Stegostoma tigrinum: one gene and its partner. The protein of the gene in region 2 interacts with the protein of the main gene of each other region in a pairwise test. Links are inferred from orthologs where the notes say so. Each region holds a gene or a part of one and is shown on either strand. Other genes may lie near its edges.

Evidence for each region.
Region 1: the proteins of cstpp1 (region 2) and ras-related protein Rab-7L1-like interact in a two-hybrid assay, tested with the Homo sapiens proteins (2 studies listed by BioGRID and IntAct). The two-hybrid records come from large-scale screens. The link is inferred for Stegostoma tigrinum from reciprocal best matches to the Homo sapiens genes CSTPP1 and RAB29.

What each region holds. Positions count from the first base shown.
Region 1 is NC_081374.1:13,082,081-13,091,335, reverse strand, and holds the start of ras-related protein Rab-7L1-like, read left to right. Parts: upstream 1-5,888; 5' UTR 5,889-6,153; coding exon 6,154-6,274; intron 6,275-9,255. UniProt on the Homo sapiens protein: The small GTPases Rab are key regulators in vesicle trafficking. Essential for maintaining the integrity of the endosome-trans-Golgi network structure.
Region 2 is NC_081370.1:51,241,394-51,250,393, forward strand, and holds the start of cstpp1 (centriolar satellite-associated tubulin polyglutamylase complex regulator 1), read right to left. Parts: upstream 4,063-9,000; 5' UTR 3,933-4,062; coding exon 3,890-3,932; intron 1-3,889. UniProt on the Homo sapiens protein: Regulator of the tubulin polyglutamylase complex (TPGC) that controls cytoskeletal organization, nuclear shape, and cilium disassembly by balancing microtubule and actin assembly.

The DNA of each region.
Region 1 (9,255 bases), on a different chromosome or scaffold from region 2:
ATTAAAGGTACCACAAACCTGATTAAATGAATTCAAGTTAATCCAACTAAATGTTAAAGTACTTCATATAATGTCATTAAAATCTTTCCTGTGGATATGCCTTATTGATGTGTGGATGCATATATAGGGTATAAGCATAAACCATAGCTACCTGTGCTTGATGTTGGTATAAATGTGCTCGTGGAGCTGTGTGTGCCTCAAATCCAATTGATGAAGGGTTATCACAGCCTTCTTGAAAACCTCTGCATTAATTGCTTAGATGTCAACTTTTGTTGCAGTTCACCTTTGTAGGAAAATATCAGATGACTCTTAATTAATTACTGTTGCACAGAAAGTTATGGACCATAACCATCTACAGTATCCATTTGGTGAATTTTTTTCTATTATCCACAGTTCCTGATTAATCTGACACTTTTTTAAAGAAAGGATACGTCAAATCATAATAGTTACCTCCCTGTTTTCTGAAGGAAATTACATTCATTCTGAAAATTCAAATGTTTTCTTTTGGTATTTAAAAAAAACACAATTATGTCCCTGGGCATCAGTTACCCCAGTAAGTGATTCTACTGAGGAGTGCTAACAGTATATAAGTACTTTAACAATTGTTAAATCTGTTTGAAAGAATTATATCTATAAATGAATGTGCACACACTGTGTAAAATGAACAAGTGGAGGGTATAGTTGTATTTTTGCAGACCAGGCAAGATTTTAAAATGTTTGGGCTTCCTTTTTTTTTAACTGTTCTGTTAAACAAGAGAAAATTGCCAACTTAATTGTGATTATTCTGTTTGTCGGTGACATCTGACTAATCCGGGATGAAGAAAATCAGGATAATTGCACTGAATCTGCTAGTTTGCCACTGTTACGGTCAATTGGACCAACAAAGAAAAAGTATATTCAGTGCAATCATTCAGTCAGTCTTAAAACTATCACCCCACAAGGAAACAAGTTACATTTTGCTATCAGAGTTTGTCGCCTGTTCTGATTTTTGTTTTTTGTCTGTGCTCTTGTCACTTTTTTTTTTCCTGTGGGATTAAATCTATAAATGTATGACCGAATCAGAATATTTGTACTGACAAACTACATTTGTGTTGTCCTAATTTTATTCTTGTACTGTGAATGGAATTTCTTCCAGATCCAGCCCTGTCGTGCTCAGTATCCTGAGCCAGTTTCCTGCACAGTATAGCCAAAATTAATATTTATATTCTAAATTGCCAAGATGTCGTGAACGTTTTGGGAGTCTGTATTTGATAAAAATAAAATGTCGTACAATGGTGAACTTTTTTATTTTTAATCTTTGCCTTTTTCATTCCTCTGCTACTTTTGATTATGGTGCCTAGACACTGGTTATTACAACAGCTTCTTCTGGAGTGTCATGGCATTGTGATTTTTCAATGTGTAAACCACTCAGATGTATTATATCGTCACTAGGAGGTCCAAGCGTAATTTGTTTTAGGTTTTAAAATTCTCAGATGCATGTTGGAATTCATGCAATTTCCCTCTATCTCTTTTTAAAAATTATGTCCAATTGAATATGCTTGTCAAATCTTGTATTCTGTTGCCGTCCAACAATATGCATCTTTCAGCAAGACTCAAGGGAGGGCAATCATGTACAGAAACCTGGCTGAAATCTTCTCACCTCTATCCTCAATAATACCAATTGTAGCATCCTTCTTGCTAGCATAACTGAGTTGGCACAGATTGGACACTGAACATGGGCATTCTGGTTTGTAAAACACAATGCTGCACTTGACAACAAGTATCCAACATATGCCACTGGGGAAACAGCTTCTATTGTCTTGGAAATCTCATCAGTACTGAGGATGTGGGAGATGGTCTGGAACTGGAAACAAAGCAAACAATGGTTGTGACTTTGACAGGAGTACAATTTCAAGAGTGGTAGAAAGCAGCGAGGGTATCGTTTGTTTCCCGTTGTTAAACATATACTACAATTTCAAGGAGTTTGAAATACGATGTGGATAAAACTGCACATTTATTTTGGAGATAAGAGATAACAAAGTGTGGAGCTGGATGAACACAGCAGGCCAAGCAGCATCTTAGGAGCACAAATGCTGACGTTTCGGGCCTAGACCCTTCTTCAGAGAGGGGGATGGGGAGAGGGTTCTGGAATAAATAGGGAGAGAGGGGAGGCAGACCGAAGTTGGAAAGAAAAGAAGATAGGTGGGGAGGTAGGGAGGGGATAGGTCAGTCCAGGGAAGACAGACAGTCAAGGAGGCAGGATAAATAGTAGGTAGGATATGGAGGTGCGGCTTGAGGGGGGAGGAAGGGATAGGTGAGAGGAAGAACAGATTAGGGAGGCGGCGACAAGCTGGGCTGGTTTTGGGATGCAGTGGGGGAGGGGACGAGCTGGGCTGGTTTTGGGATGCAGTGGGGGAAGGGGAGATTTTGAAAATACGATATGGATAAAACTGCATATTTATTTTGGAGATCAGCTCTGTATACCAGAGTTGCTCATTTCAGTCTGTCTTACTAAACAGATGGGCATAGTGAATAATTTACAAAAAGCACAAATTGATTGAGTCCTGATGATTGCTATGTAGCAATAAGAAGTATTCCAATCAGAACATCTTCATTAGTGATACAAGGGATCCCCATGTGCTGTGGCACCATACATCTGTAAGGTCTAATTTTCTAAAGAATCCACAGAATCTCTACAGTGTGGAAACAGGCCCTTCAGCCCTCCCCTGTCACCCACCTAATCTACACATCCCTGAACACTCTGGGAAATTTAGCATGGCCAAGCCACCTACCCTTTGAAGTGTGGGAGGAAACCCATGTAGACATGGGAAGAATGTGCAAACTCCACACACAGTTACCCAAAGTGGAATTGAATGCAGGCTCCTGGCGCTGTGACGCAGCAGTGCTAACCACTGAGCCACCATGCTGCCCTAAATTTGTCCAGATAATTGTTGTAAATTTCTAATATAACATCCTGGAATTCCCTCCCTAATAGCATTGTGAGTCTACCTACAGCACGTGGACTGCAGTGATTCAAGAAGGAAGCTCACCACCACCTTCTCAAAAAGGTAACTAGGAAGAAGCCATAAATGCTAGACCAGCAAGGCGCACTCACATTTCATATATAAGGAAATAAAATAAGTCTTGGAAATAAATGGCATCTGACACCTGAAGTTAGCATTTTTGGTGGAGTCTTTTTTAAAAGTCTGAAGTGGGACAGGAGGAAATGGAATTTCTAAATATTAACATCTTCCTATTGAAACCAGCTAGTATACATTTACAGTGGGTCCTCACCATTCACTGGAGGAATGTTTCAGAAAAATCTGAATAGCAAATAAATGAAAAACAGGGATTTGTTTCATATAAGAATTAATAAGTTTTTGGCAACAAGCAAAATAACATCAATGATTATGCTGAAAATTGTTCCCTCGTAAAGTAAGGTACATATGCAAAATAAAGAATATTGGACTAACAAACAGACCCACTACCCAGTGGAGACAACAGCATTTACATGGCACAAGGGTGCTTCACAAGTGCACTATGAAACAAAGTTCAATGCCAAGCTACATCGAGGTGGATGATCAAACATTTGGTCAGAGATACGTTTTGAGGAGCTTTGTACAGCTAGAGAAAGGGAGAGTTGAGTATTCAAGAGGCCAGAATTAGACAGCTTTGTACTTAGTAGAATTGTAGGCCTGGAAATTACAGGAGAAGAGGAAGAGTGAGGCCATTGGAGAATTTCAAGAGAAGTTTGAGAAACTTAAAGGGGAGACGTTACTCAATTTGGTGTCAATGAATGTGATTGAATGGAACTTGGTGAGAGTTCATAGGCAAAAAATGGTAAATATAATATACAAGAACAATTTGAAACAGTTTTACTACAAAAATCACACACAAAATTCTTTTAACCTCAACAACAATGTTACAGATACTCATTAAGCATGAGGAAGTAAGTCATGCTGACAGCAGATCACTTAAGATTATTTTAATCAAACTGTTTGAACATATTATGACACACCCTCAGGACAGGTGAGACGTGAAACCAGACCTCTGGCCCAGATGTAATGATACTGCCATTGCACCACAGTACCCCATAGGGGGTCAGTTAACTCGGTGACTGGATACCTGGTTTGCGATGCAGAGTGACGCCAACAGACTGGTTCAATTCCAATATCGGCTGAGGTCACCACGAAGGTCAACCTTCTCAAATTCTCCCTTCACCTGAAGTATGGTGAACAAAGGGTTATGCTCACCACCAGTCATCTCTCCACTGAGAGAGCAGCTTTGTAGTCCTCTGGGACTACAGTGACTTTACCTTCCATTTAGAGGTGTTCACAACTCAATGTAGGGCAAACCTATTTCCACTTTAAAATTCCTTGTTCAGGTGGCATAGTTTTAGTTAATTTCTGGAGGTTTCCTCTTACTGACATAAATACTTTAAAGCAAACACATATCCTCATCTCCCAGCAGTTTTCTGCCTTGTCTTTAAGCTTAGCACTTCAGCTTCCACTGTCTTGTATCTACAGACACAAACGCTTTGACTTTCTGGCTGCTTTCTCTTGCACAATTCAGGACTGTTTTGGAGATTGCTAAATTAACACCACCTTTTCTCTCTAACTGAACCTGCATACACCCTGACCTTCCAGATGGTGTGTCATTCTGTGATAATTGACTCTTGACACTAGGGAACTGCAGTGTTTTTTCTTTCCTGACCATTTTTCCTAATAATTTCCTATTATACCTTAAGTTCAACTGCAAGACTACATACCCTCATTAAAAATGCCTACATTAACAAACTTCAAATACCTCCGTGTCATTTCAAACAAATCTAAAATGGAACTAAAACCATGACTCCTTTTGGTACACAATATAGAAATACAAATCAAAGTTATACATGATTATTCTTTTTTAGAATGCAGGTTTTCAAATAAGATGAATTTTCATCACATTTTAGATAACTGAAACTGAAAGAAATGCTGATCAGATTGGAATTCATTTTTCTAGAGGAAAGAAGGCTAAGAGATGCTGTGATGGACATATTTTAGAATGATAAGACTTAATAGGATAGGAAAAAAGTAATGTGCACTTATTCATCACCTTTAAAATAATAAAATGTTCCAAAGTGCTTTACGGTAGTTTTATCAAAAACATTTCACACAGTTACATATGAGCAGATTTTTTACTGTTAGGGCTGAATTCCAGAGGTGAGTGATAACCCTTGACGTCAAGGAACCCTAGCAAAACTACAATCAATGGGTGTCAGGAGGCAAACTCTCTGTTGGTTGGAGTCATACCTGGCATAGAGGAAGATGGTTGTGATTATTGGAGGTTAGTCAGCTCAACTCTAGAACATCTCTGCAGAAGTTCTTCAGACTAGTGACCTAGGCCCAACTATCTTCAGATACTTCATTTATAGCCCTCCCTCCATCATGAGGTCAGAAGTTGGGGATGTACACTGATGACTGCACAATGTTCAGCACCATTCGTGAGACCTCAGATACCAAAGCAGTCCATTTTCAAATGCCATCCAGGCAATGACCAGGCTTGGACTGAAAAGTGGCAAGTTCATGCTACATAAATACCAGACAATGACCATCTCTATTAAGAGGCCATCTGAACACCACTCCTTGACATTCAAGGATGTTACCGTCACCGCACTTCCTACTATCAACATCCTGGATTACCACTGGCCAGAAACTCAACTGGACTCGCCGTACAAAAGTCATAGAGTGGCACGGTACCATAACAGACCCTTCGGTCCAGCTTCTCTCCCGGCTCTAAACACGCCCAGAGCGGTGCATTTCGGGAGTTGTAGTCCTTCCGCCGTGGGATCGGAGCGGGCGTGGCACTTCCGCCCGGCGAGCGGCGAACTACGGTTCCCAGAGTGCACCGCCGGCGTCTGGGTCCACGTGACCGCGTCCTGGATGCGGGCGGAAAATTTACAGCGCGTCCCGTGAAACAAAAAACAAACTTAACGAGGGCATCGCGACGCTGTTCATTCTCCCCCGCCCCTCCTTACACCACCCGGGGTGTAAGGACGGTAAATTAAGTGGGGTGGTGCTTTTTTTAAAAAAAAAGGGGAGGGGATGTTGTCTCCAGGGCCTCAGGGAGGATGTTTATGACGAGCTCCAGTTGCTGCATCTTCCCTCATTCAGTCAGTGTTCTCTCTGCAGTATGGCGAATGACTACCTGTTCAAGGTGCTGGTCATTGGGGACTGCACGGTGGGTAAGACCTCCCTGGTGCAGCGTTATGCTAACGACAGCTTCAGTAAGAACTACAAATCCACCGTGGGAGGTAAGTGTGTGTGTGTGTGTGTGTGTGTGTGTGTGTGTGTGTGTGTGTGTGTGTGAGAGAGAGACACACACTTTTTGTTGTTTGCTGCAATAAGGTGGAGGGATGAGTTGTACAACTTCCAAACTTGTTGTTATGACTTGAAAGTTGCACCAGCCAGAGTTGGTGGTATTTTTTGGGGGGGTGTGGAAGATTTTTAAAATAGCCCTGGCAGGAATTGGAGTGAAAAACAAAACCATAGAGAAGTACTGCGGTTGCTGCAAAGTTGAAATAAAAACAGATGTATTATCCGGAGAAACTCAGCGGGTCTTAGCGCCTGGTGGCCTCAGAAGCACTTGACCTTTTCAGGTCCAATATGAATTCTGAAGGGTCGCTGGACTGGAAACTTTACTGTCTCTCTCCCCAGATGCTGCCAGACCTGCTGAGTTTCTCCCAGTAGTTTCTGTTCTTGTTTCATGACTTTCTCTCAATTAGAGAACAAAATAGCATCATAACTAACTTAGCAAATTGGTAAAGTTCTCCACTGTTGTTACTCTTCTTTGAATGTTGCTCTCTTTCTGGGCACCCTCACATTTATGAGGTCTGTGCTTTCTTCCAACTCCCCACTTCACCACCCCCAAACAAAAACCAGTGGAACTGCCACTATTTCCCAGCTGTTTTCAGTTCTGACAGTCACTGAACTTGAAACATCAATTTTAATACACCTGACAGAACAGAAATTTATTGTCCTAGATGCAGTCATTCCCCCTGAATTTCACAGGTACTTTCAGTTTTGCTTCTCTCCTAGTTTAATGCCTTTGCTTCTTTCTATAACTGTTTTTAGGCCTTTTTTAAAGGTGCCGAGTAGGAGGATAACAAGTTTCTTCTTCTTCTGAAACTTGGTAACTTTCAGTACCAGTATGATTATATAATGTAATGCAGAACAAAATTATTCAGTCCATAGTCCAATAAGCACAGACAATCAAATTTAGAGAGATAACACTACTCCTTTCCCTGTAACTTTTGCTTGCTTTCAATTTCCTTTTATTTGTTACCATTAATCTAATCCTGCCTTCTGTTTTAAACAGTGCATTCCAGACTATGATAACACAAATGCAATTTCTAAATCTCTTCTCAGGTTGTTGGCCTTCCTGTGAGTGGAAATTGTTTTTAACTTAATTATACTAGTGCTCATTTTGAACCTTGAGCTAGTCGTGATATTACTTAGCTAATTAGAATATATAATTTACTGTCCTTTTTAAAGACAGTCAGCTTTAAATTAGGTGCATAGAAGTTTTAAAGTGCAGTTGGAACACTTAAAAAAATCACTTTAATGTCTACATTAACAAAAGAAAATAATTTTCAGATATCAATGAAATTGTGTTTTTTTAAACAATTTCCCACTTCTTTTCTTGTACCTTGACTTGGGATTTGATAAATGATTCCCTTTCTCTGCTTGCCTCTCTTTTTTTCTTATTCCTGTTCTCAGCTGAGCCAAGGGGTTTGAACAAACCCATCATCTTGCAAATCTTGAGCTTTTATAATTGTAGTTTCATAAGATTGATTACAAATAAACCACTTAATATTTCAGTTTATAATAAAATAATTTAGAAAAGTTCCTGAAGTGAAAGTCCACAGACATGATAAAAGGACAAGTGAGACCACTGCTTCTAAAGAGGTTGCATGCAAATTTCTGCTTTGCAAACTAACCTTTTCCTTGGGTTTTCTGTTTTTAGTTTTAGAACCTGAAGTGCCCAGTCTGTTCTTATTGTTAACCTGCACTCCTTTCTGTCAAAAATAAGAGCATGGCTTTGTGATCAGTATATTGATTGCTGTGTATCTTTATTGTACTGTATGAGTTAAAAGCAACTTGTTCTGAATTCTTTACAAATTTAAACTGTGCTAGAATAATAAAGTATTTTAACCATGAGCGGTCCAGATTGAACGGCAAACTACTCAACCTATGAGTAAGCGGCTGTTCTCTACCAAGGAAATCTATTGTAGTGCAATATACCAAGTGTGTAACTCTGAGGTGGAAATTACTTGTCTGTGTGACTAGTTGGAGGTTTTTGTAGGAATGTGAGCAATGTTTCAGCTGAGTGTTTGTGAGCTGAATTAAGTTGCTAATGACACATTGCACTTTTACACAATATGGGCAGAGCTATGTATGAAGAAATGGTTTTGAAGATTAAGATTTGACTTTTTTTCAGGGCAAATGGGTGAAAGAGAAGCTTTAATTGACAGAAGTTAAGCAAAATATTGACCCCATAAAGACTAATTATTTTGTTTGTTATAAGGGTCATAATTCTCCAACAGGTATATATTTATTTTTTAAAAACTGCTTAATACAACTAAAGTTGGAGATTGGAAGTGAAATCAGACCAAATTCTTAAATTGCATTTGAGGATGTGGTTGACAGACAGTTTCACAAAATTATCATGTCTGATAACTGAAAAGATGAGATTTGCAATTTGGAGAAGCAGTTGAATTGATTGGAAAGACTGGTGGGTTAATTTAAAAGCATATGTGCTGCACAATCAAATCTCAAGTTGACAATTTCATAATAATAGAGTAATCCTATTTTGTAAGAAGCTTTAGATTAACTCTTAACAAACCATGGTTTTGTAATTCGTTTGTGGTTGACAAGGTTTTATCCTTGTGCTTGACTAATGACCTGTAGACCTCTTTATTTTTCCCCAGAAACTGTAGTAGTTCTGGTTGTATCAAAAGCGCAGTAGCATGTCATTTTTAACAAGAGTATTTAAAACTGAATAAACACGGTCAGCCTTAACTCAATGTGGTAGCTTAATAATATTTGTTCTTTTTTTTTGAGAATGCAGCAGTAATTGCCACCGCTTGTTTGTTTTTAGAAAAAATTACTGCACATGGGCTGTGTTTTTAAAATTGACCTGCCTCTCTCTCTCTCTCTCTCTCACATCCAATAAGGCACTTAAGGTTACATAATGGATACATCTGCCAACTTTTAATTCCCCTCATGAGAATGA
Region 2 (9,000 bases):
TGACCTGTAATTTGCAATAGTTCATAAAGAAAATATGCACAAGCAGATGGCAATGAATACCCATACTTTGCATGATTCTTCCAACTTCATCTTCAGTGAGGATACAAAAGGCATACCAAACACACACCAGCAAAATGGAATGTAAACTTCACTGCTAAGAACTGGAATTAAGAATCCATTTCAGTTTTAGAAAGCATAAATCAACCAGATTACCATCAACCTCTCTTGTATATGCTGGACATGAACAGTAACCAAAAGGAAAAGGGGTCTTGTAGCCAGCACTAAAAATAACTTGCAACTGTATTTATCTTTTCATTGGTAAGAATCAGTACTGAAATTCTCATTTTACAAACAAAAATCTATTGCAGAAAATTTAACTGGGGATATAAACCTTTAAAAAAAATACATATTTGGCATCAAAGAGAAAGAAGTTGACATGAAAGACACTGGGAAGTACTGTAATGGTTGAACAATTAAAAACTGACCCCACTGTAGAAGTGGTCCATAAGGGATGAAAAGGTGTTGTAGCCCCGATAGTTCAACGATGTGGATCAAAACAGTCAAGTTAGTAGAGCTAAAGTAATTAGCTAATTTGCTGCATGAAGTAATAGGCAATGTAAGGTGGGAAATAGAAACCAAACCGGTTTAAAGAAGACATATCCCTTAATACCTTTGTTTAACAAAAATGCATCTTAGATTTAAATTAACAACTGATTGAGCATCCATTGCCATTTGAGGAAGACAGTTCCAAACCTCTCCTATCCTTCATGTGTCAGAAGCTTCCTAATATCTAACCTTAAAGCTCTGGCCCTAATTCTCAGACTATGCCCCTAGTTGTAGAGTATCCAATAAGTGGGCCCTGTTATTCCCTGTTAATAATCTCGAAGACCTCGATCAGATCACCTTTTAACCTTCTAAATTCAAGAGAAAACAGGCCTAATTTGGATAATCTCTCCTGATGACCCCTGAAATCCAGGAATCATTCTTATAACCTGTACTGTACCCCCTCCAAGGCTGATGTATGGTTCTAAGACGTGGTCCCAGGATCTGCTCACAGTTCTCCAAGTAAGGTCTAACTAGGGTTTAGCATGACTTCAGCATAACTTTTGCACCCTTGTGCTCCAGTCCTTTAGATATATATATGCCCACAGTCCATGAGCTTTCTTGATTGTGTCACTCACTGCAGAATTCCTAACTTCTGACCTCCTCTTATAGTCATTGTCTGTATGGCTGATCCTATTCCATTTAATGTCAATGATAACGCGCAGGTTGTTGATAGTGGGGAGTTCAGTGATGGGATTGCCATTGAACATAAACGGAAGATGGTTAAATCTTCTCATATCAGAGATGATCTTTGACTCACACTTGCATGGCACTAACATTAGTTATCATTTATCAGTCCAGGATGTTGTCCAGGACTTACTACTTAATTATAACTATATTAATTATGGTAAATTTAGGATTACTCACAATGTTGTGTGATGAACAATCAATGATTAAACAGATGGCACAGAAAGCAGGTTTCTGGTTTCTACATTGCTGAAACAAGCTCTGGGAAAGATAATAACAATACAGATTAGATTAGATTCCCTACAGTGTGGAAACAGGCCCTTCGGCCCAACAAGCCCACACCGCCACATGAAGCATCCCACCCAGCCCATCCCCCTATAACCCACACACCCCTGAACACCACAGGCAATTTAGCATGGCCGATCCACCTAACCTGCACATCTTTGGACTGTGGGAGGAAACCGGAGCACCTGGAGGAAACCCACGCAGACACGGGGAGAATGTGCAAGCTCCACACAGGCAGTCACCCGAGGCTGGAACCGAACCTGGGTCCCTGACGTTGTGAGGTTGCAGTGCTAACCACTGAGCCACTGTGCCACCCTAATGGGAGGTCATTCATCAGATTCAGATCAGTGGTTAGCACTGCTGCACTGGAACTCAGGTTCTATTCCACCCTCGGGCAACTGTGTGTGGAGTTTGCAGTGTCCCTGTGTCTGCATGGGTTTCCTCTGGGTGCTCCGGTTTCCCCCCACGGTCCAAAGGTGTGCAGGCTAGGTGGGTTGGCCATGCTAAATTGCCCAGTGTTCAGGGACGTGTAGATTAGGTGGGTTATAGTGGGATTGGTCTGGGTGGGATGTCTGAGGGTTGGTGTGGACTTGTTGGGCTGAAGGGCCTGTTTCCATGCTACAGGGATTCTATGATTCTAGATCAGAACCAATGTCTTTGCAACAAGGGTGAAGGGAAGGTTAAGAAGTGAATAATATGAAGAAGACATGGTACAAAACAAGGACCAGTGCACATAATTCTGAAAACTATCAACAGAAGGTTCATAGTAAAAGGATATGGAGCATCCAGGGAAATAATGATAAGGCAAACAAAGATATTAACTTGGGGAATGAATGACTAAAATGCCTCAAGTGCGAATGTGCACTTCAAAGATTCTACCAAAGACAGAGATCAGATTCGATCAGCATTATGAGTAGAATAACTCAGGTGATCTTGATCAATGCTAGAATAAGGTGAAAACACTGCAAATGGGGTAAACAACGTGATCATTAGGCAAGGGGAATCTACACAAATTCTAGGTCCAGAGGGAGAATGGGGCCAATGAAATTAAAGAAGCATACAGAGGAACAGATGAAGCAGCTTTAAGTGATAAATTAAAGTCAAGGTATGAAAACATAATTCTGTAAACAATAATGAATTCTAACTTGGGCAATCAAATTACTTTGTGAAAAGGGCCAATTCCATGTTTAATATTATGTAGCCAACAGTAAAAGAAAGAAAGAACATCTGAGCATTTATACCAACATTAGGAGAACTACCCCACCAGAGGGGGGAGGGCAACAGACTGACATAGTAAAATTCCACAGGATTGTAGCAATGTACCAGCATTCCAGAATCTTCCATCATCATCCATGGTGTTTTCTCGCCCATCAACAGTGGACAGTCGCAAGATGAAGTCACATAAGAAGACACAGAGCTGACAATTCTCAACACTGACCCTCGTTGCCTAACATTCAACTGAAACTACTACACAGTACTACATGCATACAAAACATAACATCAACATTGCTGGCTACAGACAGAGCTAAGCAGGTCCACAAGTATGGCATCACAACAAAACCTCTACCCTAACTATATCTAGTCAAAAATGGTGATCGACAACCAGTCAACTAGTGAGAGGAGTGCATGAACATGACCGTCACAATATCAGAACCCAACATAAGGCTGGAATACAAGTAACTTTATTCCAATAATGCCACGGAGACCTTCATACCTTGATAGGCAAAGGAATCGAGGGTTATGGAGGTGCAGACAGGAAAGTGGTGTTGACAATGAGACTGAAGTATGGAGACATACTTGAATGAATGGGAGAAGGCCATTCAGCCATAAATTCCAACTAGGCTGACTCCTCCCAAGGGTCCCCACCATCACAGATGCCAGTGCCCAGGGCAAAGTGGTCCAATCAGAGGGCAAGAGAGCCTGGTCATGGCAACTCCCCGAAGACCAGACTCCCAACGGATGTTCCAAAACGCTTTTTTTTTAGGGCGGGGAGAACCACCAGGAGAGAAAGCTTTAACAAAAAAAATCATAAAACAATAAACTAAAAGGGTCACTGGCCTTGAGACATTAACTCGTTTCTCTGACTCCTCATACGCTGCCAGACCTGTTGAGTTTATCCAGCAATTTACTGTTTTTATTTCAAGCTTGCAAGGAATGTGAAACTTAAAGGGGGAGGGAATCAAAACAGAGAGGAGCAGAGAAAATTGCTGGAAATGTTCTGCAGAAGGGGAAGGAGGAGAGAGAAAGGGAGAATGTTTGAGGCTAGGACCCATGTGAAGGACCATCGTGACAGAGGCCAGGACTCACTACTCACTCAGGTAGTCCTCAGCCGACATTGAGAATCGGTCCGCGTTCATCCTCCCACCCAGGTCAGAACCAAGAGATACCGAGAGAAAATCCGCCGTTTTCTCCTCAACACCTACAACCCGCACCAGCTTCTGCTGTTACCATAACAGCAGGCTTCTCCGGAAACGTGCCACCGCAAAAGATTCCCCCTCTCAGCACTCCAGGCCCCTGAACTATGGTTCCTGTTGTGAGAGGAGCCTGCCTAAGTCCCAGCTCAGAAATCTCACTCCAGCGTGCTGCAAGGATGTGCACAGCTCGGGTTTAAAACACAAATAACCCCCTCTCTCCCCCGCCCCAGACTAAAGGTTTCATTCGCTGTTTTCTTTTCTTAGAAAGCATGGCAAAAGTTAACTTGCTGCCTTGCATTCAATTGCATGTCCCACACAGTACTAGAGTACTCCTGCAAACTAAAACTGGGCTCAGGTAGCAATGGGAGCCCAGATGCCAGAAGGGAGAAAGTGAAAGACAGGGTGAAGGGTTTTCCAATTGGGAAGGGAGGTGGCAAAGCAAAACATTTAAGCAGGGAATGCCAGAGACAGCTAAATGCAGTGGCTGCTCCAGAAGAACTGATTTTGGGGATGATGTATAGCACAGTCTCACAGCCATGCTAAGTTGCCCAGTGTCTAGAGTGGGAAATGCAGAGATAGGGGAGGCATTGGCTCTGGGTGTGATCCTCTTTGGAGGGTCGATATGGACCTGATGGGCCAAACTGCCTGCTTCTACACTGTAGGGATTCTATGACTCTAATGGGAAATAGCCATTTGAAAGGACAGGTCAGAGAAATTGAAGATTTGAGGGAATCAGTTTACAGTAATGGGGAAAAAAATATATGCGAAACCAAGGGGCAATTTTCTTACACAGAGGGTGGTACACATATGGAATGAGCTGCCAACAGAAGTGGTTGAGGTAGGTATATTAACAACATTTAAAAGGCATTTGGACAAATACATGGATAAGTAAGGTTTAGGAGGATATGGGCCAAATGCAGAGAAATGGGTTAGAGTGAATGGACGTTTTGGTTGGTGTGGACAATTTGGGCCAAAGGAATGGTCTCCATTCTGCAGGACTTTATGACTCTTACAATTTTTTTAAACTTTAAGTTAACAGAATTTTTATATCTAGAGCTATTGGGTCCATACTCAGGAACCATTCAACTTGTGTTTTTTTTTGTTCTCTTTGTACATTTACTGTACAATGTTTATATCAAACTTGCATTTATGTATCACTGTTCATGGTCATTGAATGCTCCAAAGCACTAACAGTTAAAGGAGTACTTTTGAAGATTATAATACAGAAAATGCAAATCATATTGAGAACAGCAAGCTCCCACAAGCTGCAAAATGACGATAATATATTTTTGTGACGTTGATTGAGAAATTACTTCAAAACAGTACCACACATGCACCACTCCTCCAAAACTGCTCTCGAGTGATTTAAATATTATGCTCAATTTTCGAGTGGGACTTGAATCCATAAACTTCATACACACAGGTAAATGTACTTGTAAGTGACCACAGATCAGTACTATCATGGAGAGTACTACTTCAAAACCCAATCAAACAAATCATTTTCCACATTAGAAAAAAAATAGGGGCATCAACACATCTTTTAACATTTAAGGCTGTTTATTCTACATCATTTTGTACTATGCATTATTAATGCAATAATTGACGAATTGGAATCAACATCACTGAAATCATAACGTTTCCCCACAGTGTGGAAACAGACCATTCGGTCCATCGAGTCCACACTGATTCTTCAAACAGCATCTCGCCCAGACCTACCCCCTAACCCTATCCCCATAACCCTGCATTTCCCATGGCCAATCCACCTAACCTGCACATCATTGGGCTGTGGAAGGAAACTGCAGCAGCTGCATGAAACCCATGCAGATAAGGGGAGAATATGCAAACTCCACACAGGCATTCGCCCGTGGGTGGAATTGAACCAGGATCCCTGGTGCTGTGAGGCAGCAGTGCTAGCCACTGGGTGGCCTTATTATGTGGACAAAATTATGGAATGTAAATCGGTAAAGTGTCCAATGGTCCAAGTCAGACTAGAATATTACAAGTGATTCTAGATAGTAAAACATAAGGGAAGCATTCAATCAATAATGGTGACTTAGAAAAAGAATTAGAGACTGGTGTCAGAGAACTCAGTTATGAAGAACGTTGGAGAAAAATGACTCCAATTTACTTTGAAAGGTGGTGACATTATAAGAGTCAATAATGGCAGAGAGGAGGTAGGAACATAAAAGCAGGAGTAGGCTATTTAGTCCTTCAAACCTTCTCCACTATTCACTAAGATCTTGGTTGATAGCTTCGTGGTATTGATTTGTAAAAGTAAATTCAGAAAAGATCACAGGCACAATGAATGTAAGTTTAAGATGAATGTCCAGAAATACTCCTCATAAAGAGTGGATGATTTCCATTGAGAAAAATCCTCAGAATTCCTTAAGAAACAATTGAATGCCAATTATTGTACTTCCTGAACTTCAAGAACTTCATTCTGAAGTAGGGTCACTAGACCCAAAACTTTGCTTTCTCTCCACACATGCTGCCAGACCTGCTGAGTTTTTACCAGCAATTTCTATTTGTGTTTATTTGTGGCTCTCCTAGGTCCCACTTTCATTGTTGCACTTAGCAAAATCCTAAGAAATCCATTTTACAGTGGCCTTGTTGACATCAGAGTATGTTAACATTTGAGACATTTTGTTTGACGCTGGAAGTTTTTCTTTTTTGTGGCTTTTTAAATTCAGGTTGCCATCTGGAGAGTTAAGGAGGTCAGCCCTAAAACTTTGAGTGGCAACGTGACAAAGAAAATATAGTTACTTTACTTCTATTTCTCCCGAAGCTGGACAAAGAAATAATGAGGAAGCAGTAAGCTTGCTCACCATATGATTGCATTTTAAATATATTTATACTAAAGGGAAAGATAATGTTAATTTGTAGAAGTAACAATTCTACTGCATGAATTCATCCTGAAAGCACTTAGTGCTGAAACTGAGAGTAAAAAGTCAAAAAATTATCTGACACAATTTCCTCTGCAAAAAATTATTGAAGATATTAAGAAACTGGGGAGCTAGTTCTTTAAATCATTAAATCATACTATGTTTTGCCAGTTTATAACAATCACCTTAAGTAATCAGAGATAATGGGAACTGCAGATGCTGGAGATTCCAAGATAATAAAATGTGAGGCTGGATGAACACAGCAGGCCAAGCAGCATCTCAGGAGCACAAAAGCTGACGTTTCGGGCCCTCTGATGAAGGGTCTAGGCCCGAAACGTCAGCTTTTGTGCTCCTGAGATGCTGCTTGGCCTGCTGTGTTCATCCAGCCTCACACCTTAAGTAATCACATCTCCTCTTTAAGTAGTGCTCAATTACAATTACATGCCTGTTAACACTGCAGTAAAAAAACAAGAGATTACCTGGTGTTTCTCCTGAAACATAGACAGTCAGATATCCAAATTTGCTGACAGTACCAAGATTAACGGCACATTAAACAATGCAGATGGGCGCAGAAGCTTATAAAGGGAGGTTGATAGATTGAGAGAGTGGAGAAAACATGGAAAATGATGTACACTGGTCGGGGAAATGAGAGCTAATGAATGCAAGAAAGATGGAGTAGAGCACGTTCTAAAATGACGAGAAACCGGAGACGCTGTAGTAATCTGTTTAAGATAATGAGTACAGAAAGTATAAAAGACTAAATGTACAACAATTAATCCAAAATGCAAATTGTTGCAATACATTATGGTGCATGACTTGGACGGTAGCTGGTGGACAGCAATAAATGCTGATCATCGGCCTCTGATTAGAGCAAGGAAGTATGCAATTTGTGCACGGTGACAGTGAGGTAGAGGCATCGGAGGGTAAAAACACTGTGGCTTCACATCGGTATCGATTGATCTGATGAGGTGCCTGCAGTAAAAGAGGGGTTGACCCAATGCGTGTTGTGCAGGAGAATTCTGGGCAGGTCAAAGAGTTGACTTTGTCAGCTGGAAATGTTATGGCACACAGCTGGCATGCTGTACTGTGGCCCAGGATTCTTTTGATGAACAATTCCATTTTGCAGGGGACACATTTCTGTCAACTGTAGTTATCAGCCATTTCCATCCACACCTGCTTGGTCAAACAGGCAGTCCCCCTCTTTCCTCCCACTTCCTACAGACTAAGGGGGTGGCCATGGGCACCCGCATGGGCCCCAGCTATGCCTGCCTCTTTGTCGGTTACGTGGAACAGTCCCTCTTCCGCACCTACACAGGCCCCAAACCCCACCTCTTCCTCCGTTACATTGATGACTGTATCGGCGCCGCCTCTTGCTCTCCAGAGGAGCTCGAACAGTTCATCCACTTCACCAACACCTTCCACCCCAACCTTCAGTTCATCTGGGCCATCTCCAGCACATCCCTCACCTTCCTGGACCTCTCAGTCTCCATCTCAGGCAACCAGCTTGTCCATTTCATGCCCACCGACTCCCACAGCGACCTAGAATACACCTCCTCCCACCCACCCTCCTGCAAAAATCCATCCCCTATTCCCAATTCCTCCGCCTCCGCCGCATCTGCTCCCAGGATGAGGCATACAACTCCCGCACATCCCAGATGTCCAAGTTCTTCAAGGACCGCAACTTTCCCCCTACAGTGGTCGAGAACGCCCTTGACCGCGTCTCCCGCATTTCCTGCAACACATCCCTTCCACCCCACCCCCACCCAAAGAGGATCCCCCTCGTTCTCACACACCACCCCACCAACCTCCGGATAAAACGCATCATCCTCCGACACATCTGCCATCTACAATCCGACCCCACCACCCAAGACATTTTTCCATCCCACCCTTGTCTGCTTTCTGGAGAGACCACTCTCTCTGTGACTCCCTTGTTCGCTCCACACTGCCCTCCAACCCCACCACACCCGGCACTTTCCCCTGCAACCGCAGGAAATGCTACACTTGCCCCCACACCTCCTCCCTCACCCCTATACCAGGCCCCAAGATGACTTTCCATATTAGGCAGACGTTCAGCTGCACATCTGCCAATCTGTTATACTGCATCTACTGTACCCGGTGTGGCTTCCTCT